Linked DNA regions of Sus scrofa. The protein of the gene in region 1 interacts with the protein of each later gene in a pairwise test. Links are inferred from orthologs where the notes say so. Each region holds a gene or a part of one and is shown in the gene's direction. Other genes may lie near its edges.

The links.
Region 2: the proteins of PNMA5 (region 1) and CCDC102B interact in binary tests that used the Homo sapiens proteins (3 or more experiments, as listed by UniProt). The two-hybrid records come from large-scale screens. The link is inferred for Sus scrofa from reciprocal best matches to the Homo sapiens genes PNMA5 and CCDC102B.
Region 3: the proteins of PNMA5 (region 1) and RAD23B interact in binary tests that used the Homo sapiens proteins (3 or more experiments, as listed by UniProt). The two-hybrid records come from large-scale screens. The link is inferred for Sus scrofa from reciprocal best matches to the Homo sapiens genes PNMA5 and RAD23B.
Region 4: the proteins of PNMA5 (region 1) and TBC1D22B interact in binary tests that used the Homo sapiens proteins (3 or more experiments, as listed by UniProt). The link is inferred for Sus scrofa from reciprocal best matches to the Homo sapiens genes PNMA5 and TBC1D22B.
Region 5: the proteins of PNMA5 (region 1) and PRKAA1 interact in binary tests that used the Homo sapiens proteins (3 or more experiments, as listed by UniProt). The two-hybrid records come from large-scale screens. The link is inferred for Sus scrofa from reciprocal best matches to the Homo sapiens genes PNMA5 and PRKAA1.
Region 6: the proteins of PNMA5 (region 1) and ZBTB25 interact in binary tests that used the Homo sapiens proteins (3 or more experiments, as listed by UniProt). The two-hybrid records come from large-scale screens. The link is inferred for Sus scrofa from reciprocal best matches to the Homo sapiens genes PNMA5 and ZBTB25.
Region 7: the proteins of PNMA5 (region 1) and C2H11orf49 interact in binary tests that used the Homo sapiens proteins (3 or more experiments, as listed by UniProt). The two-hybrid records come from large-scale screens. The link is inferred for Sus scrofa from reciprocal best matches to the Homo sapiens genes PNMA5 and CSTPP1.

Annotation. Positions count from the first base shown.
Region 1 is NC_010461.5:123,997,551-124,001,701, forward strand, and holds PNMA5 (paraneoplastic antigen-like protein 5), read left to right. Parts: upstream 1-1,384; 5' UTR 1,385-1,486; coding exon 1,487-2,797; 3' UTR 2,798-3,651; downstream 3,652-4,151.
Region 2 is NC_010443.5:153,888,097-153,891,596, reverse strand, and holds part of CCDC102B (coiled-coil domain-containing protein 102B), read left to right. Parts: intron 1-1,936; 5' UTR 1,937-1,952; coding exon 1,953-2,558; intron 2,559-3,500. UniProt on the Homo sapiens protein: During interphase, forms fibers at the proximal ends of centrioles to maintain centrosome cohesion. During mitosis, dissociates from the centrosome following phosphorylation to allow centrosome separation. Contributes to CROCC/rootletin filament formation.
Region 3 is NC_010443.5:248,468,491-248,471,990, forward strand, and holds part of RAD23B (UV excision repair protein RAD23 homolog B), read left to right. Parts: intron 1-112; coding exon 113-381; intron 382-3,500. UniProt on the Homo sapiens protein: Multiubiquitin chain receptor involved in modulation of proteasomal degradation. Binds to polyubiquitin chains.
Region 4 is NC_010449.5:32,866,678-32,870,177, forward strand, and holds part of TBC1D22B (TBC1 domain family member 22B), read left to right. Parts: intron 1-431; coding exon 432-739; intron 740-3,318; coding exon 3,319-3,498; intron 3,499-3,500. UniProt on the Homo sapiens protein: May act as a GTPase-activating protein for Rab family protein(s).
Region 5 is NC_010458.4:25,780,682-25,784,675, reverse strand, and holds the start of PRKAA1 (5'-AMP-activated protein kinase catalytic subunit alpha-1), read left to right. Parts: upstream 1-1,194; coding exon 1,195-1,294; intron 1,295-2,524; exon of another isoform or gene 2,525-2,660; intron 2,661-3,994. UniProt on the Homo sapiens protein: Catalytic subunit of AMP-activated protein kinase (AMPK), an energy sensor protein kinase that plays a key role in regulating cellular energy metabolism.
Region 6 is NC_010449.5:88,531,455-88,534,229, reverse strand, and holds the end of ZBTB25 (zinc finger and BTB domain-containing protein 25), read left to right. Parts: intron 1-539; exon of another isoform or gene 540-777; intron 778-2,020; coding exon 2,021-2,201; 3' UTR 2,202-2,275; downstream 2,276-2,775. Other genes in the region: MTHFD1 (C-1-tetrahydrofolate synthase, cytoplasmic), read right to left, coding at 2,476-2,565. UniProt on the Homo sapiens protein: May be involved in transcriptional regulation.
Region 7 is NC_010444.4:15,558,127-15,561,626, reverse strand, and holds part of C2H11orf49 (UPF0705 protein C11orf49 homolog), read left to right. Parts: intron 1-706; coding exon 707-809; intron 810-3,500. UniProt on the Homo sapiens protein: Regulator of the tubulin polyglutamylase complex (TPGC) that controls cytoskeletal organization, nuclear shape, and cilium disassembly by balancing microtubule and actin assembly.

The DNA of each region.
Region 1 (4,151 bases):
GGGTGGGGCTGGGGTGGGGATGGGACATGGGAAGAAATGAGAGTTGGTGGGAGCAGGGGTCTAACTTCCGTGGCGGTGGGGCTTGGTGTGAGGGGTTGAGCTTAGGTGGGGTGGAGCTTAAGATGGAGTTTGTGCCTCAGTAGGAGTGGGACTTGGCAGTGAGTTTGAGATCCGGGTGGAACTGAGGAAAGGTAATAACCTGCCCTAGCACTGAGTACCAGTTGAGCAGTTTCTTGTATTCCAGTACCAGAATACTTGTGGGCACCTCTGTATATAGAATTGGCATAGGCAGAGCAGCAGCATGTCAGCCAGAACCATAGCAAAATACCTGTGCTTGGCCTTGGACAGATCCAGTGAAGCAGTACCCACCACCCCAGGACCAGAAACTGCCTGACTGGCCAGATCCCCAGGGCAGGCCTAGTGTTGAGTGCGGGTGAAATCCCCTCATCTGCACTGTGAATGGGTCCCTAATCAGATGGTAAATAGCTGGGAGGTGGGCCTGTGTTGCAGAGGCTTCTGTAACCCTGATGAAAAGCAGGAGGGGCGGGGTTGCCTGCCTGCCAAGGGTCTGGCAGAGTAAGGTCAAAGCCAGGGTGAGCATTGTCTGTTTCCTACGGTGTGGTACTGGAGACCCTTTTGGAGTCCCTTTTCTGTCCTTGCTTCTAGCTTCTACACAGTTTGAAACTAAGTTCTTTTTCAGTACTTGATCCTTGCTGCCCACCCCCCCCCATTCCCCTCCCTCTTCATGGGTTGGAGGCCAGTGACATCACCTGTTGCTCCTTAGCCTTTCCGCATGACACCCCCTGTGAAACCCGTAGTCCACATGCTTCATCCATGGCAACACTGCAGCTTGTCACACGTTCTCCATACCCACCAGCTTCAATGCCCTGTGCAGCGCTCCAGCCATCTTTCTCCTTTGTCAGGCATATCCTGAGAAAGGAGGGAACGCCACATCTCTGTCCTCTAAACTTTGCCCCAGCAGTAAGGGTACCAGGTGCCCTGGGCCTGCACAGCCCCGAGCCAGGGAGTGGGACAGCCTCTGGTCTTCTCCTAGTTGGAGAGCTTTGAAAGTGTTCCCAGGCATTAGGCCCCACCTCCTGAGGCTGGATTTTTCACTGCAGGCACTTCCAGCACAGACAGTAGGGTCTTCGGACTTTGAGGACGAACCCACGGCAAGCAGAGGTCAGCAGGGAAAGAGTGAGGTGGGGGGAGCTTGGCCTGCAGAGACCCCTCCACCAAATGACTGGGGGAGCCCTGTGAGGCAGAGAATGAGGTTCTGTGAGTGGAAGTGGGGGCAGAGGAGGGGCTTTTGGTGGGGATGGGAGGGTGGCCATTAATGATGCTCTCACCCCATTCACATTATAGGCTGTGGAAACCCAGGACGATTCTGCCTTCATATTTGGCCTTGACTTGCCTGAGTCCTGATCAAACTCTGTGAGCTGGTCCCTGCACCTGGTATTAGATCAGTTCATAGAAAGTGGGAGCAATGGCTGTGACACTGTTGGAGGATTGGTGCAAGGGGATGGACCTGGACCCCAGGAAGGCCCTGCTGATTGTGGGGATCCCCGTGGAGTGCAGTGAGGCTGAAATTAAAGAGACCGTGAAGGCAGGCTTACATCCCCTGTGCACCTACAGGGTGCTGGGCAGAATGTTCAGAAGGGAAGATAATGCTAAGGCAGTTTTCATTGAGTTGGCTGATACTGTCAATTATGCTATGATTCCCAGAGAGATACCAGGAAAGGGAGGTGCCTGGGAAGTGGTTGTGAAACCCCGCAGCTCAGATGATGAGTTTATGAATAGACTCAACTACTTCCTGAAAGACGAGGGCCGGAGAATGGTAGATGTGGCCAAGACCCTGGGATATAGCACTCCCACTGAGGGCATGGAGCCAGAGGCCTCGGATCAGGTCAGGTCACCAGCCTTGCAGCCTCTGAAAGAAAATGTGTGGTACCGAAAACTCAGAGTGTTTTCGGGAAGCACTTTCCCAGGCCCAGACGAAGACAGCTTTGAAGGCTGGCTGGAGCACGTCACTGAGTTGATGCAACTCTGGCAGGTGTCAGAGGTCGAGAAGAGGCGCCGTCTGCTGGAGAGCCTTCGCGGCTCTGCCCTATCTGTCGTGCGGGTGCTCCGGGCCAATGATGAATCTATGACCGTGGAGCAGTGTCTGGACGCCCTGAAGCAAATTTTTGGGACTAAAGAGGACTGCAGAACCTCACAATTTAAGTTCCTCCAGACCTTCCAGAAATCGGGAGAGAAAATCTCTAGTTTTTTGCTACGGTTAGAGCCCCTGCTGCAGAAAGCCGTGCAAAATAGCCCCTTGTCCGTGAGAAGCACAGACATGATTCGCCTGAAACACATCCTGGCTCGGTCCTGCATGAGCACCAGCCTCCGGGCCAAGTTAGAGCTCCTGGATCAGCGAGGTCGTGCTCCCACTTTCCTCGAGTTAATGCAGGTCATTCGAGATGAAGAGGAGTGGGAGGCCACCATGGGCCTGACGAAGGAGAGGCAAGTGGGGAGGGGCCGCAGGGCCTCCGGCAGGCCGGTGCTGGTGGAAGCCAGTGTCCCAATGCCTCAGGTCGTGGTGCAGACGGGGCCCTTTAACGAGAGCAGCACTCAGACCATCCAGGAAGGGATTAGCCTGTCCCTGAAGCGCAGGCGCATGTCATGCTGCTACGGTAGTGGGGAGGGAGGCCACAGCCAGGCAGCATGTCCTAGCGTGGAGAACCAAGCTCCAGCAAACAGAAGCCTCAGTTTGCAGCAGCAGAGTCGGGAAACGAGATGGGGGCTGGGGCAATGAGCCACCCCGAGCCCTAGGAAGCGTAGGCTCAGTACTCCAGGCACCCCTTCCCCTAGCAGGCAACTAAAATATTTTAATGAGATGAAGGAGCAGCCCACACCAAGAGCGGGGGACTTGAGGGGGAGAGAGTGGCAGGGCAGCCAGGCCCAGGCCGAGCCCCCTTGTCTTCTGCCAGCTCAGAGGGGCTCTACCAACCAAGCCCCATGCAGCCCAGTGAGGGCCAGTCAGCACAGGGCCTGGGAGAGGCACTGGCAATGCAAGCAGGGGGCCAGCACACTCGGCAGGTGGGGTGGCCAAGCCTCGGAGAGAGACCCCAAGGCAGAAGAGGCTGAAGAAGGTGTGGTGGGGGGCTCCGGCATGGACCCTGGCATCTGGCCACTCCTTAATGCCCAGAGGGTAGGCTCTGAGCTGATGAAGCTGATGGGCCCCCAGGCCATGTGGGGCCCAGGGGAGCCTCCCCCGGGGCCAGCCCTTCTGGAAGGAGCCAGCGCTGGTGAGGAAGAGCTGTGGGGCGGAGAAGAGATGCCCCGGAGGGGAGCCCGCAGGGTCCAGCCCGTCTTCAGGATCATCTACACCGCTCTAGGGGAGCCCCAGGAAGGCAGCACCCTGGAGCCTCTGCGCAAGTGAGGGGAGGAGACCCAGAGGCCCTGGGAGCCCAGCACCAGCCTACAGGCAGCCTCCTCCCCCTTAAGCTGGAAGGGCTGTGGGGACAAGGTCAGCAAAGTCTGTGCGGAGAAGGTCTCCGTGTCAGAGGCTCAGCTTGAGAGGCAGGGTGCAGGGTACCCTAGTGGGCACAGCTGCTTTGGTGCGAGTGGGTGTGCAAGCGCAAGGAAACTTTAGTTCCCAAGCAGGAGCAGGAGGGAGAGGGCGGGGAAAGAGGACGGGGAGGAGGAAGAGGAGGGGTGGGAGAGTGGAGGAGAAGATGCAGGAGGAGAAGGAAGAAGAGGGAGGAGGATGTAGAAAGAGGAGGAGGGACAAGGAGGGGAGGAGACGGGAAGGAGGAGAGAGGATTGGTGGGTGGGAGGGAGGGGCGTTTGGTTCGGTTTGATGTCTGTGCCGCTGGAGACCTGGGACTGGCCTGGCAAATCACCACTCACCAGCTGCCTATGCCAAAGTCAGCCCCAAAGCCTGCAACCCAGGCAGCCAGCCTAGGTGAGGGGCACCCGAAGACGCCTGCCACCCACACTGGCCCCGGAGACCTTAGGGGCCGTGTCAAGGTGCCTGGGCCTCCCTGTGCTGGGAGCCCACCTGTGTCTCTGTAGCCCCTCGTGACCCACGTATCAAGGCACCCCGCTCCCTGCTCCCCTCCCCTCCAAACACGCACTGACCTTGGTTCCCCTGCAGAGCCCTGAGG
Region 2 (3,500 bases), on another chromosome or scaffold:
GATAAATTTCAGTTTAATATACTGAAATAAATTTCCTATCTTCATTTTGAAATTTCAACAAAAAGAAATATGTTATTAAGTAGTGAAATATGTAAATATAAATATATAATATTTGGTATGCTTCTAATTAAGAGTTTCTCTTTTTTAAAATACTGGTCTTGGTTTACTAGTGGTCTGAGAAATTTGGTCAGTATATTATTATTGTCACTGAATTACAGTAAATGAAAGGAATAATTGCTCCAAGTCAGCACTAGTTCAAATATGATTTGACATAAACTAATGTTAACAAAAATAATTACAACCATGAATCTATATTATTATATTAAGTATTATAATGAGTGAATTGGTTTGACATCCCTACAGAACACTTACTAAAATGTGTTTTTCCACAGCTGAAAGTGGTATACATTTAATATTATATGGTCTTTTTTCAGTCAATAGCAGTTAACTTAGTTGGTATAATGAAACCCCTTCAGTAGATTAAATGGATGGTTCATAAAAAGACAATTTATGATCTGTAACTCTATAAAAGGAAATGGAAAAAAAATGGGAGTAGTTAATATCATGAAGGTAAAATGTTATCTAAGATCATTTACACCAGAAACTCTTTGATAATAAAAATGGGTAATCTTATACAACCACAGAACTTTATTAATTTGTAGATTAACCTGCATGTTTTGAGAATTTATTTTAAAGAAAATGTTCCACTTGCTAATCCTCAATATAGTTATGTTGCTATATTGAATAAAGTGATGGATGTACATACTGATAAGAAAGGTTTGCATTTACCAATTAATTTGTCTTTGCTATTTATATGGAAAGCTGCTTTTAATTCCTTTTTAAAGCTCTGGAATTACTGAGACTCTTTTCAGTGTTGTCTGTGAAGCTACTTTGTTTCTCTAAAACAGTTCATCACTTCTTTAGCAGTACCCCTTAGTGTATCTTGTACACACCAGTGATATGCCTGTCTCATTCACTGGCCTACGAAATCTTTAAGGACACAGATCATGTCTTATTCATAATATTTTATTTTTAGAACTTAAAATACTAACCACAGTAGGAAGTTAATTTATGTGTCAGATGTCATTTTGACAGCAAGTTACAGAAAACTCAACAGTCATAGCTTAAATAAATTTAGGTAATCATTCTCACACAGCAAGGAAACCAGGGGTATGGATTCTATCTTTCAGGCAGCAGCTCCATCATTACACAAAGCTTTTTTCATTCTTCTGTTTCACTATTTTTAATGTTACAGGGTGGCTGTTACATTTACCTTCTTGCAGAATCTTGTCTTTGATCAGGCAGGAGGAGAGCAGAAATAAAAGTGTTTCTCAGTCTGATGATTTCACATTTTTCTGAATGGGAGACTTCTCTAGCAGACTTCCCCTGACCTCTCATCAGTCCGAACCAGGTCACATGCTGCTTTAAACCTATTTATTATCTATTAGGAATGATGAATTAAATGGAGGTTATCCGAAAGGTTTAGACCAATCATAATTTAGCCCCTGGGATTGGAATAGGAGCTTATCCTTCCAAAGATCAATAGATTCTGCCTTCTACCTGAACAAATTGGGCTTTAGTTAGCAGGGGAAAAGGGACCATTGAGAAGTTAATGGACAATATATGTTGCAATAAATATTACCTGAAAAGAACTGGATATGTTGAAATGAATTATTCATGTCCTATGCTATCCCCCGCTGCATCTTTATATATTATTTGTATTTATTTGGCAAATTTAAATAGGAGAAATCTCTGTTTCTTTGAGGGTAATTACAAATGCAGAAATTCCTCTATATTTTTAGCTACAATGGGAAGGGAAATATACAATATTGAAAAAGACACATTGTTTTCATCAACTTCCTTTTTTAAATGTCGGTCTTGCTCTTATAATTGCAGGGGAAATTCGAATGCAATTATGTTCTCTGTCTTTTCTTAGGCCTGAAAAGATAAATATGAATTTAGATTCCATTCGTCGGTTAATTGAGGAAACACAAATCTTCCAGAGGCAGCAGTCATCAGTTAAACCAGCATGTGACCTGGTGGTGCCTGCCTCATCCCCCAGGGACACCTGTGGTCCCTATTTGCCACTTTATGGGCTGCAATCTCATGCCTATCACAACGTCTGTGCTCACTCATGCAACAGTAATGAATGGGATATTTGTGAGGAGCTTCGACTGCGGGAACTGGAGGAGGTCAAGGCCAGAGCTGCTCAGATGGAGAAGACCATGCGGTGGTGGTCAGACTGCACTGCCAACTGGAGAGAAAAGTGGAGTAAAGTTCGAGCTGAAAGGAACAGTGCCAGGGAGGAAGCAAGACAACTCAGGATAAAATTAGAGATGACCATGAAGGAACTGAGTACTCTGAAAAGGAAGCAAAATTTGTCACCTCAAAAGGAGGCTTTGGAAGCTAGAGTTATTCAGGACCTTAAGCTTCCTGGTTTCAGAGATGTGTCCTCTACACAGAGAGACTCAATTCAAATTGGTTCCAAAACCTGTGAGTCCATCAGAGAGTGTTTGGGAAAAAGAGAATTTCCTACCAAGGAGAACACAAAGAGTAAGGTCAGAAAAAATCCAGAGGAATCCAGAGATTTTTTGAATGCTATAGACAGTAATGAGGAGGGAAAGGAAAATAGCAAAACCAGTGGTTACTGTGTTTGTTTGTGTGGGCTGCCAGAACTAACTGCCCACAGACTGGGGGACTTCAGCAACAGAAATTCATTTTCTCAGAGTTCTAGAGGCTAGAAGTCTGAGGTGGGTCAAGGTGTCAGCAGGGCTAGTTTCCTTGGAGGCCTGTCTCCTTGGCTTACAGATAGCTGTCTTCTCCCTGTGTCTCCATATTGTCTTTGTGCATCTTTGTCCAGATTTCTTCTTCTTTTGTGGATGCCATCACTAGGCCCACACTAATTAAGCTCATCTTAACTTAATTACCTCTTAAAGACCCTATCTCCAAACACAGTCACATCCTGAGATATTTGGAGGGGGTTGGGACCTTAACATATGAATTTTAGGGGAGACACAAGTCAGCCTATGTTACTCATACTTTTAGCCAAAATTAACCCAGCATTTTTTAATGTTAAAAGAAAATATTTATGGAGATTTCTCTCCATTTACTCTAGTAAACCATTACTAAGAAATTATCCGTACAGTAGTTTAAACCTTTCCTGAAGGTTGGGACTCTGTCCTCACAATTAATCACTCAAAGATAGGTAACTTAGGCAAATATCTTTAGGGACTGCTTCACACTACCTACTCTTGGAATTTCTTGGTATACTTGAATCTTGAAGTTTCTGAGATTTCTGCACACAATAAAAAATTTTAAAACTTTAATCTAGCAGTTCATACACTTATCTATCAATGAAACACCCCTCCTCCCATATATATATATCTACAACTCATGGAATATACATTTGGAAACTAGGAATTTGTGTTCGCTCTTCAAGTAGAATTAGTTTATATTATTACCTCTTTCTAGTTAATTCTACCTCTACAACCATAAATCAA
Region 3 (3,500 bases), on another chromosome or scaffold:
ATTTTCAAGTAACAAATTTGTATTAGTGTTACATTTGTTTGTAGCTTTCAGAGATCATGTCATAATGTAATATTTTGTCATAATGCATTATTTTACTTTGTAATATATTTAGCCCAAAGCAGTGACAACACCAGCACCGGCTACAACTCAGCAATCAAATTCTGCCACCACTACCACAGTTAGTTCCTCCACAGCACCAGCTGCGGCTCAGGCCCCAACCCCAGCCCCTGCTTTGGCTCCTACTCCCACTCCTGCATCCATCACCCCAGCATCAACGACAGCATCTTCTGAACCTGCACCTGCTAGTGCAACGAAACAAGAGAAACCTGCAGAAAAGCCAGCAGAAACACCAGTGGCTACTAGCCCAACATCAACTGACAGGTAAGAACTGGGTGTTAGGAAGTTGTATCTTGGAATATGTTCAGTATAAGAACTTCATGAATTTATTTTGATTGTTTTTTTTTTTTTTTTTTTTTTTTTTGGTCAAACTAACTTTCTGTCTACTATGTTAAACATTTTCTAAACTCTGAACTCCTGACTGACTAAAACATTATGCCTCTGTTTAAATTTCCATAATCTAGATTTATATACTCTGCATCATTTCCCCTGCCGCCCTCCCCCTGCCCCCTGGAGGGAAAAGAGAAAAAGGGTCAGAGTTGTTATTCATTTCATATACAAAAGTTAGGAAATGACCAAAAAAAGAAGTATATGAGTTCCCCTGTGCCTCAGTGGGTTAAGGATCCAGTGTTGTCACAGCAATAACATGTGTTCAGTCCCTGGCCTGGGAACTGCTGCATGCCACCAGTGTGGCCAAAAAAAGGAAAGAGGAATTATGACATTATATTATAGCTTGGCATAAATAACTTGACATCATCCCCCAGTCATTATTTATATTGATCTATATTATTTCTGACCATTGTCGTGTATATATATATATATATATATATATAAAATAAACATCCTTCTATGTCAGAATTTTTCCATCTGCTACATAGTTTTGTGTTTGGGGATGACATTTGTTAGATCTTAGGAAAGAAATTAATATCTTTGGATTTTCTTCTTCGTCTGTAAAATGTGGATATCAGCAGGACTTACTTCATGGAGTTGTTCTAAGGATTAAATAATAAGTATGAAAGATGTGAAGTAGCGCATGGCACACAGTAAATGCTGAGTATATTTTTTTGTGAACTTGTGTAGAAATTTATGTTTTTGCCCATGTAGCTCTTCAGAAACAAAAGAAAAAGTGCTGGGACATTTTGGGAACAAGAAATAAGTTCTTGTGGGAAGGTGGCAGTTAGGATTATTGAGTAATTTATGACAAAGATTTTTTCCCCCTAATGATAAATAAAATAACCAAAGCAAATGCTTCAGTTCTCCTGGCTGGAAATCGTACAGGGGAATCTCTTCTATCTGAGAGCATGAATTGTATTCTTTCCAGAGTGAGCTGGCACCGAAGCTGTTTGTGTTTTATGGCTTTGGTGTAGCACAGGACCTCAATGGCAGTAAAGTCCTGGAATCAGAACCAGACATAGTGGAAAACTATGCAGCAGTTGGAAACATGGACACAGAAGGATGTCTGTGATAAATACACCAATCAAAAAACTTCAGTCACGATCCTTCATTTTAGTGTTTTGCCTTTGAGTGAGGTTGCGTCAGCTTTGTTGAGAGGGGTTTGAGTCACCTGGTTCATTGCTCACTCAGGCCTCTTTTCAAGGAATTAATTGCCTAAGAGGAGAACACGGATTCAGGTGATAAAATATTTTCCCTGTGTCTGCCTGCTGCACTTTGCTTTAGGCATTCTGAGACACCATTGCCTAACTTGATACTTCTTGCAGGTACAGCTAGAAATGCACACAACACTAATTACCTAGGGGGAGACAACCCAGGGTCAGGTTATGCTATTACATCAAAAGGCTATTACATTTGTTCTGTGTCTGGGAGGGAACTTATAAATTTAGCAAATTGGTTTTCCAAATCATTTAAATATTGTAAACTTAATTAAATATGTCGAGTTGGTTCAGTATATCTTCTTTTCTTTAAGCTCCTGTTAAAAACCTCATATCATGAGAATTCCTGAATTGATCAATACCTTTTAATGTGCTAATAGCATCAATTCGGTTATCATCTCTTATTTCTTATTGAGGGTTCAGTTTTATTTACCTGTTCTCAAGCATCATGAACCTTTTCAGACCTATAGAGGTTGCATAAGGGAGTTGATGATCAGGAAAGCAGACTGCAGAGTTGCCTCCTTACTTGAGCTTTGTACACCATCCCTTTACTCTTATTCCCCAGAGTTATACACCTCAGAGAAGGATAGCACAGGAAGGGAAGGATGAAGGAAGCTCAGAAAACTAGCTGCTTAAATGTACCTTAGTCACTTCATTTGTGCTGTAAAACATTTAATGTCTTGTAAAGCACAGAACTCAATGAGACATGCCAATGTGAATTTGAGGAGTGTCAAGAAGTTTTTTTTACCACCTGGCCTGACATTTCATTGTTAGGGATTTGTTTCTCTAGGTCAGTTTTGTCTTTAAAAACCACCTATTACAATGCAGATTTCACTTGTTGATATCTGTGTTAGAGAAACTGCACTTTTTTGCACTAGGGCTGTATTGTTTGTAATTGAAGACAAATTGGAATCAACCTAAAGATCCACTAATAAGGGAATGGCTTGATTTTGTGATTTGTTCATATTGGGGAATTGTGCTATTATTCATAGTGTGGTAGTAAACAAACAGTATCAACATCACAGGGAGTTTGATGTTTGAAATTAATTCTTAGGCTCCCTAGAATTATCTGGGGTAGGTCCCAGAAGTCTGAATTTTAACAATCTCTCTTGGTGAATTCTTAAGCTTTCTAAAGTTTGAAGAGCTCTGATATCCAGTAATAGAAGGCAGTTAAAGTATGCAGTACATATTTCAAGGCTTTGTTACCAAGTGAAAAAAGCAGATTTGCAGAACAATACAGGCAGTAACCCTAAACCAAACAAAAGCCACATAACATCATTGCATATTTTCTGTGGTTAAGCATATTAATATGTAGAAAAACAGTAGCAGAGGGACAGCACACTAACTGATAAAGTGGTTTCCTCCGCGGACAGGGAAGGGAGAAGTATTGAGGCAAAAGAATCAAGATTGAAGAATGGTGGTTAAACATCATTTCAGTCTTATCTGTAATGTTTTAAAAGAAATTCTAAAACAAAGTGCAAAAATAGCACAAATTTTCTATAAAAGAACAGTAATGAAGGGGACTATTTCTGTGAGATAGAATTAATTATTAGTACTATACATGGTGATGATTACAACTTAGAATGGCTTTTGGAGTTCCCGTCATGGCGCAGTGGTTAACGAATCCGACTAGGAATCATGAGGTTGCGGGTTCGGTCCCTGCCCTTGCTCAGTGGGTTAATGATCCGGCATTGCCGTGAGCTGTGGTGTAGGTTGCAGACGCGGCTCGGATCCCACGTTGCTGTGGCTCTGGCGTAGGCCAATGGCTACAGC
Region 4 (3,500 bases), on another chromosome or scaffold:
CAGGCTCTGCTCCCCATAGTCACTCTTTTTTCCAGCTGAGGGAGGCACCACCCTCTGGAGCCCCTCCAGTGATCACAGTAGAGGAGAGCTTCTGGAGAACTCACACCTGTTCTGTCCCTTGGCTTGGAAGTGACTGCCTCACTTCTCTCCTCAGCGCACTGGCCAGAACCAATCATACAGGCTCACCTGAGCGCAAGGGACTGGGAGGAGTAGAAGGGCACGCGGACTCTTTGGAGAGCACGGTGTCTTAGTTTCGTCTGTCTCTGCAGCATAGGGCTGGCCTGGGTGAGGAATAGATGTGGATATTTTGTGTTTGAAGAAGGTAATGAGTGTGCATGAGACAGTTTGTGATGCTATTGATATTATATTAAGCACTTGATGTTAAGATGTGTCAGACCATTCCCTTGGTAACGGTGTCTCCTTTCTTAAAGCTTCATTAAAGAGCGGTCAAAAGTCAACACGGTTCCTCTGAAGAGTAAGAAGGCTTCCAGTTTTCATGAGTTTGCCCGGAACACCAGCGATGCTTGGGACATTGGCGATGATGAGGAAGAGGACTTTTCCTCCCCTGCTTTCCAAACTGTGAACTCAAAAGTTGCTTTGGCAACTGCCGCCCAAGTGCTAGAAAACCACAGCAAGCTGAGGGTGAAACCAGAACGGTCCCAGTCCACAACATCCGATGTTCCGGCCAGCTACAAGGTCATAAAGTCCAGCAGTGATGCTCAGCTGTCCAGAAATTCCAGTAAGTTCGTCCTGCTCCCCTCCATAGGTTCCACCTTTTCAGCAGAGTAGATTTTAAGTAAAACCAATTTTTCTTTAGAACATCCCTCAGATCTTGCATTGGATGATAAGTAAGCAAGCTCTGGCCTGAGAGGTGATGTCAGGGAACCTAACTGGTCATGAGCTGGCCTTGTTTCTCCCACCCCCACCCAAATGGCTGCCTGGCTCTGGGACCTGGGGCTTCACCTCCTGACACCCACCGTTGCCTGCCATTCTCTTCTTCCTTTCCCTGCGGTGGGGTCCAAACTTTTGTGGTTCGATTGCTTCGCATTGTTTTAGTCCTGGTCAGGTTGAAGAATACCCATGAAATGCAGTTCAAGTTGTTAGTGGCTGAATTTCATACATGTTTGGCTCTGTTGGTTGACCTCCTCAGCTGTGGAGAACAACCACCAGCATTCAGGTTGTCTTTTTCCTGTTCCTGAGGAACAGGGTCCCTGTGTCACAGCTCCCAGCCCACCAGGTTGGGTGGGGCAGGAGGAGGAGGTACCCCTTCTGCTTTTTCTCAGGAAACTGGCAGCAGTAACTGGCTGAGATGATGGTGGTTTTATCAGATGTTTGGGGTTGCTCGGTGTACTCTGTTAAATGTCAGAGTCTTAAATTATTGCTGTATTTAAGGTTGTCCTACAGGGTTTTATGAAAGCCAGTTATTCTGCGCTGAGAGGGAAGGGCCCTCGTCGGAGTGAAAGTTAAAGCAGCTGACTGGTAAAGGCTGAAAGGGACGCAGGAGGTCAGAGCCCTAGAGTGTGTCCCGGCTCACGTTGTGAGAGAGCTGCTTTTACAGTTTTGGACTGAGGCTGTGGTCGTGAAATTAGGCTGTAAGACCCTTTCCGATCATTCCATAGTCCCTTTCCATCACCGATTTGGGCCCCACCTGCACGCTGTGCCCGTTGCAGGCATTCAGGGTCTGTTGACCATGTGGCCATAGCTATAGGCTACAAGAAGTGTCCTCACTCCATGTTTGAGGGTCTCCAGAGGGTCCTAGTATAAGGAAGACCCCACCATGGTCCCTAATGAGCTGCCCTTGTTCAGCCAGACCGCCCAGAACATTCCCGTTATAGGGCTTCTTCCTGTGGACACCTGTCTGTGACTCCTGACTCCGGAGGTGCAGGTCGGCCTCACTCTGTGGTGTGTGGTCTGCGTCTCCCAGGCCCCATGTAGCACCAGGGATCCAAGCCAAGTCCTATGTGGCTCTTGTTCCTGTTAACCTAGTTGTGCTGGCTGAGGAGTGTTCACTGTTTAATTCTTGCTGTGACTACTGCTTTTTAAGGCCCAAATGCCTAAAGAATATGAGTCACGAAAGGACAGTCATGAGTTTTGTTGGGAGTAGTAAAATACAGAAGGGTTTTAGAGTCAGAGCTAAGGTGCTGTCCCAGCTCTCCCCACAGGTTACTTACCTCTCTGAGCTGCAGTTTCCTCCTCTCTAAACCAGTGGGGAACTCCTACCAAGTCTTGTAAGGACCAAATGAGAGGTCATGTGTGGATATGACCAGCATGATTTTTTTTTTTTTTTTTTTAGGGCTGCACTCGCGGCACATGGAGGTTCCCAGGCTAGGGGTCCAGTTGGAGCTGTAGCCACCGGCCTTCGCCAGAGCCACAGCAGCATGGGATCCGAGCCACGTCTGTGACCTACACCACAGCTCACAGCAACACTGGATCCTTAACCCACTGAGCTAGGCCAGGGATTGAACCTGCGTCCTTATGATTCCTAGTCAGATTCATTAACCACTGAGCCACAACGGGAACTCCTAGCATGATTCTTTATGCATATTAAGCGTTCAGTAAATGTCAGTCCTCTGCTCATTTCTCTACCTGCCGTCTAGTTTAGAAGTTTCCAAACCAGACATAGAGTTCAGCTTGAGTCTGTGTTCCTGTTATTTCAATCACATCCCGGCAGAATTAAAAGCTGGCTTTTTTTGGTGAGAAGTGTAGGCGTGCAGAGGAACCGCAGCCACTCAGAGCGGGCCTGCCCCTGGCCAGAGCCTCTGGCCTGGTGTGCAGGGTACATGGTGGGCCAAGAACAGGTGAGAGTTGTGCCAGATGTTGAGCATCTCTGCCCTTGGGGCAGCCGCCTGGGGCGAGCAGCTGCCTCCGTGTGCTGCAGTGTGCTCCACCGTGTCCTTCTTTTCCATGCGCTCTGTGATGTGTGAACGGAAGGCCAGCCCTGCCTTTGACTGCATTGCCCCAAAGAAAAGTTCCAGGTTAGGGTAGAAAGAAAATGATTCATTTTCCCCCGAAGTCACCAAAAACATAGTCAAAGTTGCTACAGCCGCTGTGGTCTCCATTGACACACGAGGCACCTTGGTGTGGACGAGAAAGGGCTCTGACCAACTGCTTCCCTTTCACCCTCTACGAGTCAGCTGCTTTAACGTTCACTCCACTCAGGCCCTGGGCAGGCAAGTGGAGCTGGCTGGGTTTCCATCCCCAGCTGCCCCACATGAGCCCCCTCGGGCAGCGCAGAGCCCGTGCTGAACTGTCAGGTGTGGGGTCTCCCGATCGCCACCTGCACCCAGCCTACTCTCCTTCTCTATCACATTCTCCCAGGTGACACGTGCCTGAGGAACCCACTCCACAAACAGCAGTCACTCCCTCTCCGACCCATCATCCCCCTCGTTGCCCGGATCTCAGACCAGAACGCCTCTGGGGCACCCCCGATGACTGTCCGGGAGAAAACCCGCCTAGAAAAATTCCGCCAGCTTCTCTCCAGCCACAACACTGACTTGGGT
Region 5 (3,994 bases), on another chromosome or scaffold:
AAAATCAGAAGAGCTGAGTAACTTTCATTGGGATGGAAAAAGAACATCTTTTCCTTTTTTATATTTTTTCATGAAGAGTCCAACTCTTTGTCCATTGACACTGGCCCAAATGCTATGACCCGGCAGAACTGAGATCACATAAACTGGTTTTTGTTTTGGTTGACACTTGACTTCGCCCATGTTAGAGTAATAATTTACAATTATTTACACTCACTTAAAAACTCTATTACAAATACGCATACTTTCTCTACTTCCCCTGTGATATGCCATGACCCCATTGTATAAACTCTTACTCACTGGAAGTACAATAAATATTTGTTGATTGATTTGGTTGATGCAACTGTAAGCTTTGTTTTCAGTTCAAGGTCTACATTTTACTGATAATCTTAAAATATTAATTGCTATACATCAGAACGTGTTGGGTAACATCCTGCTTCCCAGACACACACACACACATTCACCCTTATCCCCAACTCGCTCCTTCCAATAGAGCTTGTTGCGGGGAGGACACTGCGGGAGAGAATCCAGTAGAAGGAAAGACCCACAATGCTGCTTGAGCTGTCGAGGTGCCCAAACAGCAACTTACTGGCGCAAAGTAAAAAAAAGACCAGCAGGGGTGGGGATGTAGTGGAAGAAGAGGGAACTTCATCAAAGATGCAACTGACAACTCCTAGAGGCTTCTAGATTCCATCCGAACAGGAAAAATTAAAGGTTAGAAAGCAGTGGCAGGGCGGTGTCCCCTGCCATGTTTTAATCCACTAGTAACAAGCCCGGAGCAGACTTCTCCAGTGTTCTTGAAGAGCGGGCCCCCCAAACCAAGAGCGGTAATTAGGCGAGACCACTGCGGGCAGAGACGCCGCCTAAGCAGAAGGAGCAGAAGAGCTGCTGCCCTCCTCAGAAAGCCAGGAAGCCCCCTCCCGCGCGCAGGTGGGATGGAGCCCCAGGCCTCGAGGACGCAGGGCGAGGAAAGGGGTACCGGTGCCCCTCCTAGCGACCCTTGCCTGCCCCGCCAGGGGGAGCGTCTGCGCGCTTCTGTTGGCTGACGGGACCCAGCAAGCGACGTAGGGCGGCGGCTCGGCGGCGCGGCTCCCCTCCCGCGTCCCCACCCCCTCCCCGCCCGCCCCCGGCGCGGCCCTGCCCGCCCCCTCCGCCCCCTCCCGCGGCGCCATGCGCAGACTCAGTTCCTGGAGAAAGATGGCGACAGCCGAGAAGCAGAAACACGACGGGCGGGTGAAAATCGGCCACTACATCCTGGGGGACACGCTGGGGGTCGGGACCTTCGGCAAAGTGAAGGGTGAGGACCCCCAGGGCAAGAGGCGGCCCCGGCCCGGGATCCGAACGACTTCCGCCTTTCGCACCTCTTCATCCTCCCCCGCCCCTTGCGTTCCTCGTCTCCCGGGCTCGGCAGCGCCTGTCCTGACTCGGAGGGAGCGGAGCCCGAGGCCGCCGCGGGACTGCGGCGCGGCGCCCCCAGGCTGGGTGGGGGTGGGGTGGGGACTGGTCGCCGTGGCGACGGTGCCGCGGCTGGAGAAGCTCGTCAGTGCAAGGGGCGGGGATGCGGAGGTGCGAACTTTCCCAGGCCCGGCTATCCCGGGCTGCGCGCTGCGCTCCTGGTGGTGGGTGGGGGTCCTGGGGTCTTGGCCGGGAACCCCGGGGAGGCGGCCTAGCCTTCGTCCCAGCTGTGCTCCCTGGGCTCAGGGCCAGCCCATCGCTTTTCTGGCCATCCTCGGCATTGTCCGTATTTCCGTCCTCTTTAGGAGGCTCTTGGCTTACCTGCCCTGGCTTATTCTCAAGTATGAAATGTGTCCCCCCCCCCCCCCCGCCCAAATAAGGTTGCTTTAAGGGTAGTTTGCAGAATTAAGAAAATCAAAGAGGCCATGTCGTCGGAAAGGATCATTAAATTTTTTCGGAGCAGTAAATAAGTATAAACCAGTCTTATATGTGTTTGCGATCCATGGCTTATGGTCTGAATGCAGACTCCACGCCTTCAGTGTTTCTGAATTAACAGTTTTGCGGTCTCTGGCCAAACCTGGTAGGCAGTGCAGATTTTGCCTCCAGATAACGTTTATAAATTCATTGATGCTGTTCGTCTCCTTCTATTATCACAGGCTATTTCCATTTTAATAAATAGTTTAGCACACATCATTTGAAAACCAATTTTTAAGAAAAGTGGAGTCGCTTACCTTTGTGTCGACAGACTATTTTGGAAATAACAAACTTGCTCTTCAGTCCACCAATTCTGGCACAAAAAGTTTAATTGCAAATTTTGTGAGGCATAAATATTTTTTCTTCAAAATATTTGACTTTGAAATTAGAGATGTAGAGAAGAGGACGGAAGTATGAAACTGATAAAAATAATTCATGCATTGGCTTTGGATAAATAATAGCCTATGACTTACATATACAAGCTCTTGGTAAATATTTGATTTGAAAGAGAAAAAAGTTTGTGAAAGTCTGTACAGTGAATTAACTAACTGAGCCTTGCTCTATCAGAGCTAAATAAACATTTTCTGGTTTTACCTAGGGATGGAAGAGGAGAGAGCCCTTTCTTCTCTTGCCCTTTCTGAGTCATAGAACTGGAAAATTGCTGTAGAGCCCACAGGGAAGCAACTGCCTAAACCTTCTTAAGAAAATCAGCAAGGCCAACAATGTAAGAGAAAGTAAGAAGCAAATGCCAGAATAGGGTACTATTTACAGCCATGAGGGTGGGTCTGTGTTAGGCCAGTAAGATGTTTCTGTGCCCTGGAAGTTATTTATTTTTGGCGATATTGTCTCTTTATTTGTTAGCAATTATAGACTGCTTTCAGTTTGCAGGTATTTGTAAGAAATACTCATTAACACCTTCAAAATAGTAATGGCAGTCTTGATGCTTTCACCCTTACTCAGAGTTCTCCTTGGATCAGGATGCTCATCATTTTCCTAATATAGACCTGAGCAGAGTCGGGTCTGGCAGATAGGAAAACATGGGGGTATTTTTGCATTTTCTGGATTTGATCTATGATGTGGCTGTGACATGAAGCTCTCCAATGACTGCTTTTCCTTAACCTTCGCTCCTCCACATGTACCTCTCTTGAAATACCACAAACTGTCAAAGTCAACAATCTCTCCAAATATGGAAAGTCCAGTATTAGTCAAAGGATTGTGGGTTTCATAGAAATGGTTACATTTGTTCATAAATACATTAATTGATGGTGGTCAAAATCCTCAACCAGTGCATTTTTAAAATTGTTAAACAGATGGGATGCTTTTTGTCCCAAATAATAGAAAATCCAACTCATCCTAGCCAAGAACATTTCTTTCTGTAATTATCTGTCCAGAGTAAGGAAGCCCAGCGTAGCCCTCATGAGTCTCATTGGTCATTCAGTCCCTGTGGCCAGGGACACATGTGTTAACTGACTTAGGCTTGTGTTCCTATAAGTACGTACTGACAAGGGAGTTGGCATTAACCTTGGAGGAATGTGGGCTACTCTTGGATGTGTGTATGGGGGCATCTTCTTCTGAAGTACTTGAATAATATGAGGGGACAGGGTGGAATATGTACACAGCAGTGGGTATTTTTGGAAGAAAGAGGGACATGATTCTTGGTGAGCAGGCAGAAATAGCTACTTGTGGTGATGTTGATAACATAGTTTTTGATAAGAATTTGACAAGAGTTCTTATAAATTATATGATTAGTCATAAATGGCGACAGATTGAGGAGATACAGCTTTTAGAATTAGTCATACACATTGGTGAATTTAACAGAAGAAAATGTAATAGAAGATGTGATATTGATATGCAGAAAAGTTCCCAATATGATATTCCATCTTAGAGGAAACTTAAGGGACAGGGTGGCAGGCAGAGAGGACTGTACATCCCTAGGGATTATTTTGTACTTGTTACAAGGTAAAAAAAAAAAAAAAAAAAAAAAAAAAAAAAAAAAAAAATCCTTTGGTAATTTGGTGGTAACATTTTGAGGGAAAACTTTAAATAGACAACTAGGGTTAATTTAGGA
Region 6 (2,775 bases), on another chromosome or scaffold:
TGCAACCATCCTTACTGAGGACTTTAAAAATGAATGGTGTGAGTGAGTTCCCTTGTGGTGCAGTGGGTTAAGGATCCAGCAATGGCCTGGGGTTGCTGTTGTGGTATGGGTTCAATCCCTGGCCTGGAAACTCCCATGTGCCATATAAGTGGCCAAAAAAAAAAAAAAAAAAAAAGGGATGGTGCTAAAGCTATGACAGGAAAAGGAATTTCCAAGGAAGTTCAGAACAAAAACCTGTATAAGCAATACTTTTCCAGGGGAAAAAAAATATGGAACAACACAGCAAAGTATATGATGAAAAGGCACATCCTCTAAACTCTACTTCTCCCTCAACACTCTCAGGCCTCCTGATTACATGTGTTCCCAGAAATACACAGAGACTCACAGTTTCCCCTTTAAACACAACAGTACCATAAAGTACAGACCGCAATTTGCTTCTTCAGTCCCAGAGGTCTGCCTGGTGCATGGATCGCCTGGGACAGCAGAGAACGTGGCAGCACAGTCTGCTAATGCTACAATTTACATCTGAACACGGGGGCTGCAAAATTATGTGCTTTTATTCTATGGATTTAGTAATTAAAGATGTGTGTGATTTATGCTAATTTATACATGATGATGGGAAGTAAGACTGAAGAAAGGCTTCTGGGGAAACTCCCACTACTTATTTCTGAAGATCTTCGGGGCAGGGACTGACTTCTGATCTCCCCACACTTCCTGACAGGGGGCCTGAATAAACACTGGCCAAACCTTCAAAGCAGCTTCCTGAAGCTGGACAATCTGGAAGGGAAAAGAAACAAGAAATACAGGTTTTCTCTAAGTGCTGAAATAATACTTCCCTTCCACGCTGCACCATCACCCTCTCCCACCGCCAAAGCTGTTAACCTTGACATCCTTTCCCACAGCCAACTCTTCTAGGGCCTTTCATAGACCTGAAAACAATGCCCAGCATTTGCATCATGGCTGTGTAAATACTGTTCAATGCCAGACCGATCATGAGCCAGGAGGACCTTTCCAAGGTCACATGTCTCTTCAACACTGCTCCTCCAGCATCAAGCACATCGTCTCTGCGTTGTAAGCAGAGTGGCTTCCATGAGCAACTTATCCTTACAGTTGCATAGATGATGCCTGTGGTTTGCATCCACCCGGACTTCTACTTCCTTAACGTGAGAGCTTTTGTTTTGCATTATTACATTTCGACACCTCTGTCTTCCCAGCTCTCTCCAGTCTTTCTCAGTACCTCTTCTTCCTCCTGTTCCATGTTGGATTTGTAACTCTGGGTCACTTGCAGTTGTCAGGACTCTAGTGACAGTTTTCCTGAAAAACCATGACTTCCTTTTTCTTGGTTTGGTCCTCGTTTTGCTGGAGTACACTGCTAAATCTCTTCCTGGGAAGAGATGTGAGGGTGGCAAGCCTATACGTGCCTGAAAACATCTGGATAGGTTTGGTGGGGTGTAAATACAAGTGGAAAGTCATCTTTCCCTGCGAACTTGGAGGGCATTCCTCCATTGTCTAAAAGTCTCTTACAGCTGCTAAGAAGACAGTTTAGTCTAATCCTCTCTCTCTTTTTTTTTCCATAGGCAAGTCATTTTTTTCTTCTCTGGAGAAGGATTTTCATCATGGATGGTTTTGAAATTTTACCTGCTATATCCAGGGGTGGCTCATTCATTATGATGAGTACTTGGGGGCCCTTCACTTAAGAGCCCAAGAACTCCTGAACTGGCCTTTTCCTTTCTTCTTCTTCTTTTTTTTTTTTTGTCTTTTTAGGGCCACGTGTGTGGCATATGAAGGTTCCCAGGCTAGGGGTCGAACCGGAGCTGTAGCTGCTGGCCTACACCATAGCCACAGCAATGCAAGATCTGAGCCACATCTGCAACCTACACCACAGCTCATGGCAACACCAGATCCTTAACCCACTGAGCGAGGCCAGGGATTGACCCCGTGTCCTCATGGATTCTAGGTGGATGGGTTAACCGCTGAGCCATGATGGGAACTCCTAAACTGGCCCTTTTCTATTTTCTAGGACGTTTACTCACTTTCTGGCTAACTCTCTATTCAGAGTATCCAGATCTTCTGCTCCTGCCTCCACTGTGCCATCGACTCCAAACCTGGAGCCTCCTGGGGCTCTACAGAGGAGCTCTGCCCTCCACTGTGCCATCGACTCCAAGCCTGGAGCCTCCTGGGGCTCTACAGAGGAGCTCTAACCTCCACTGTGGTTCCTCCCAAGCTTATTCTCCCCTATACTGCCAAACTGTGATGAACTGTGTTCTTCCAAAAGCATATTGAAATATAAATATTTCATTCATCAGTTACTGCCAACTCTCATTACTGCCCCCTCTCCTCTCAGATATGTCTGGAAAGGAATCTTCCGCAAGCGTTACATTTACATTTTCATAGTTTTAGTTGGGAGTCCTATAATTCATAAATATGCCCCATGAGGGAAAAAAGCAAAATTTTCACCAGTAACAGCTCACCTGTTTAGAACAGCCCATTCACCTGCTCAGTTTCAGGGTCCAAATCGATGTCATAGAAACAGGGCCGGGTAGGGAGTCCAGGCATGGTGCTCATCTAGGAGATGTGAAATAGTATTAAAAACACACATAACATCAGCTTTCTTTTCCCACCTTCCCTTCGGCTAGAAAGCTTAAGGCACCAAGACAGAATATTATTTTAGAGTTATCTATAAAGTGACACTCTCCATGTTACATCTTAAAAATCAAGTCATTGATCCAGTTATGATCTCAGAGAAACCCCCAAGTCCTCCAGCAAACCACATGC
Region 7 (3,500 bases), on another chromosome or scaffold:
ATTTCATGCTCTTTATTATTTACCAAAGTTATCACTTACAAACCTTTACTGAAATTTTCATGGTCCTTAAACTTTTTCAGTGGCTTTTTTTTTTTTTTTTTTTTTTTTTTTTTTTTGCCACATCCAAGGCATGCAGAATTTCCCAAGCCAGTGATCAAACCCACACCACAGCAGTGACCAGGGCTGCTGCAGTGACAACACCAGATCCTTAACCCTCTGTGCCACAAGAAAACTCCCAGTGACTTTTTTTTTTAATTAAAGAATTGAGTTTTCTTTGCAATCAAGTCATCCATGTTTCTGGTGTAGAATCACTTTTCCCCTGGGATAAATTTCTGAGACACGCAGAAGTGGAAGAGGATGGAAAGAGATAGGAGATAAGAATGCCCAGGTGCTTCTGCCAAATGATGCTGAAGCACCTCACCCTCATCACTGAAATGAAGAGTGAAGGGTTGATGTTAATACTAACAGCCAGTCAGATGGAGTAGGTCATGTTATATCGTCTCCCATTCTACCCTTTGAGAGTATGTCACTTATTTTGCCAGCAAGTTTTGTTTGCCTATTCCAGTCTACTTCCTATGGCAGAACCAGCATTTTGAGTGACTTTCATGGCCTCCTGCTGGGACTGGGATGATGATTTTTGTTTTGTTTCGTTTTTGGTCTACTTCTCACTCTCTCTTTCTCTCTTGCTTTTTCTTTATTTTTGTAGCCCAGCGACATGTCCTCACATACATGGAAGATGCGGTATGCCAGCTGCTAGAGAACAAGGAAGATATTAGCCAATATGGCATTGCCAGGTTCTTCACTGAATAGTAAGTACGTGAGTGCTTTGCCAGTAGGGCGGGCCCAGAAGAGGCTTTAGGAAGCAGCCAAGATATATGAAAAGTAGAGCAGGGCAATGCTGATTATGTAGTGGCAGTGACTGCTTAGCTTTGGTAGACTGGTTGAGGGCTGCCCAGACATGTTTTGGAACGTGCCTTTGGTGCAGCTAGTTTTGTCCAGTGGTAAGTCTCATGAGTGGACATAACTGCAGAAGCTCGACTGCTGGTTTGAGCTATTAAATCTGTTTCCTTAGGTTCCTCTTATAATTTTTAACTTTTCCCATTATTCGGATAGTCACTCTGATTTCCCTTCGTCATTGTTCCTTTAGTCTATGTTTTTCTTGGCTGATTTTTTTCATGGAAATGCTTCGGATGATATTCCTGTGCAGTTTTCTTTCTACAGGATATTGTGCCAGTCATGTAATGATTTAAGACTATTTCTAGAGGCAGGATACCTTCCATAGATTATATCTTTGAGAAGTTGTACAAATGTAAAATATGCTTGGAATGTGTAAAAGTCAAAGTGATTGTTATTTTCAATTTATTAAAAATGTTTTTTCTGTTTCGTTTTATTTTGTTTTTTGCTTTTTAGGGCCACACCTGCAGCATGTGGAAGCTCCCCTAGCTGCTACAGCTGCTGGCCTGTGCCACAGCCATAGCAATGCAGGATCCGAGCCACATCTGCGACCTATATCACAGCTCACAGCAATGCCAGATCCTGAACCCACTGAGCGAGACCAGGGATCAAACCTGCATCCTCATGGATACCAGTCGGGTTTGTATCTGTTGCACCACAAGGGAAGCTCCTTCACGTTTTATTGAGATGTAATTGACATACAACACTGTGCACATTTAAGCATAGTGATTTGATTTACATGCATCATGAAGTGATTGTCTTTTTTTAGAGCAAGTTTTTTTCCCTTTAATACTCAATTAAATAGATAGTTGTAGGTATAAGTTTTGTATGTACATAAATCTGGCTGAGGTGTTAGTTGGAGGCTGGCTTTCTGGTCCTCCTCATTTTTCTGAGACTCTTTCCCATTTTAAAGTTGACTTTGTCAGGGATAAAGTTTACTAATGACGATGTGTAGTAGGCCAGTGTGGTGCTCAAGAGCTTAATTCCTCTAGGTTTTAGCCCAGAGTTGCTTCAGCTCTCTCTTATGTGTCTTGGATCTCCCATCTAGGACACCACGGGTGCTCAGATCGTCAAATGGCCAGTTCTTATTCATGTCCCTGGTTGAGCTTAATTAACAAATGAGTTTTAATTAATGTTTCCCTGTGGGACCACTGCACATCATGAGGACTCCACCGCCCCCATTAGATCTCTCAGTCACCTGAGAAAACTGTAATCAGCCAGGAGGAGTCTGATCCCTTTTCTTCGGAGCAAACACTCTCATCTAATACCTTCACCTTTATCCCAGCAAATTTCATTACAGCAGATGAATTAAGGAAAAGCATCAGATCAGCCTCTTACCTAAACACTCAGTCCAGACCCCTAAGTCTCTTTCAACTAAGCAAGCTGAGGGTATTTTAGTCATTGGTTTATAGCCATAAGTTGACTAGTCACCTGCGATCTTCCCCAGGGAACTGCCTGATGGCGTTTCAGAGATGTTTCCCATATTGGCTTTATTTTTCCGTAGCTCACAAAACTGAGGTCTAGGTTAGAACCTCTGTCAAAATCTTTCCTAGGTTATCATCAGATGGATTAAATATTCGAGCACAAAACTGAAAGCAAAACTGAATCCTCACCAGCCAAAAGGAAGCCACAGAATTACCAATGGGATCTCCTGAAAGGAAAATCCTCAAATGGGAATCAAAGGTTCTCCAGACAGACAATGTCCAGGGAGCATGCTAAGCGGTTCCAAATTGGCTTCCAAGTCCCACTGAGCCCAGGACCTTAGTCCAAGGGACTCCTTACAAATAGGATCTCCCAAAAAGAAAATTCCCAAATGGGAACCGAAGGTTCCCCAGATGGACAAGATCCAGGGGGCCTCAGAGTGCATGCCAGGGGACTTACCCAGATGCTGGCAGAGGTGTCACAATATCCCAGATGCTACTTTTCTCCTTCCCAAAAAAGTTTCTTGAAGTGGAAAGTTTGGGTTGGCAGCAGAGGGAAAGGAAGGAGATCCCTGCAGGCTGGTGGAGCCTCAGCAGCTGCTAGGGTGGTCCTTGCCTTCCAACCACATTTCCAGCCTAGAGTTCCAACTCCCGAGATGGCCAGTCAGGTCTCTTCGGGGGCCCGGCTCTGTGGCAGGAAACTCTCAGTGATCTGGCCTCCAAAAGAGTCCTCTGTTCACCCAATGGGATACTGGTATGGAGAAAAACTTCAGAGCCTTTGATCAAGCTGAGAGCCCTGAGGGGCCGTCTGCCCATGGCAAATCCCAGACGAGCCCCCAAAATTTGTTGCTGAAGCCTCCGTCTGCTGGTGCCAAATACAAACTCAGAGACAGAATTTTGAGTGAAGGAGGAAAAGATAGCTTTATTGCTTTGCCAGGCAAAGGGGGCCACAGCAGGCCAGTGCTTAAGGACTGTGCCCCCATGAAGTGATTACAATAAGTTTAGTGAACATCTATCATCTCATATAGATACATAATTAAAGAAGTAGAAAAAAATTTTTTTTCTTGTGGAGTTCCCATTGTGGCTCTGCGCGTTAAGAACCCAACTAGTATCTATCAGAATTCA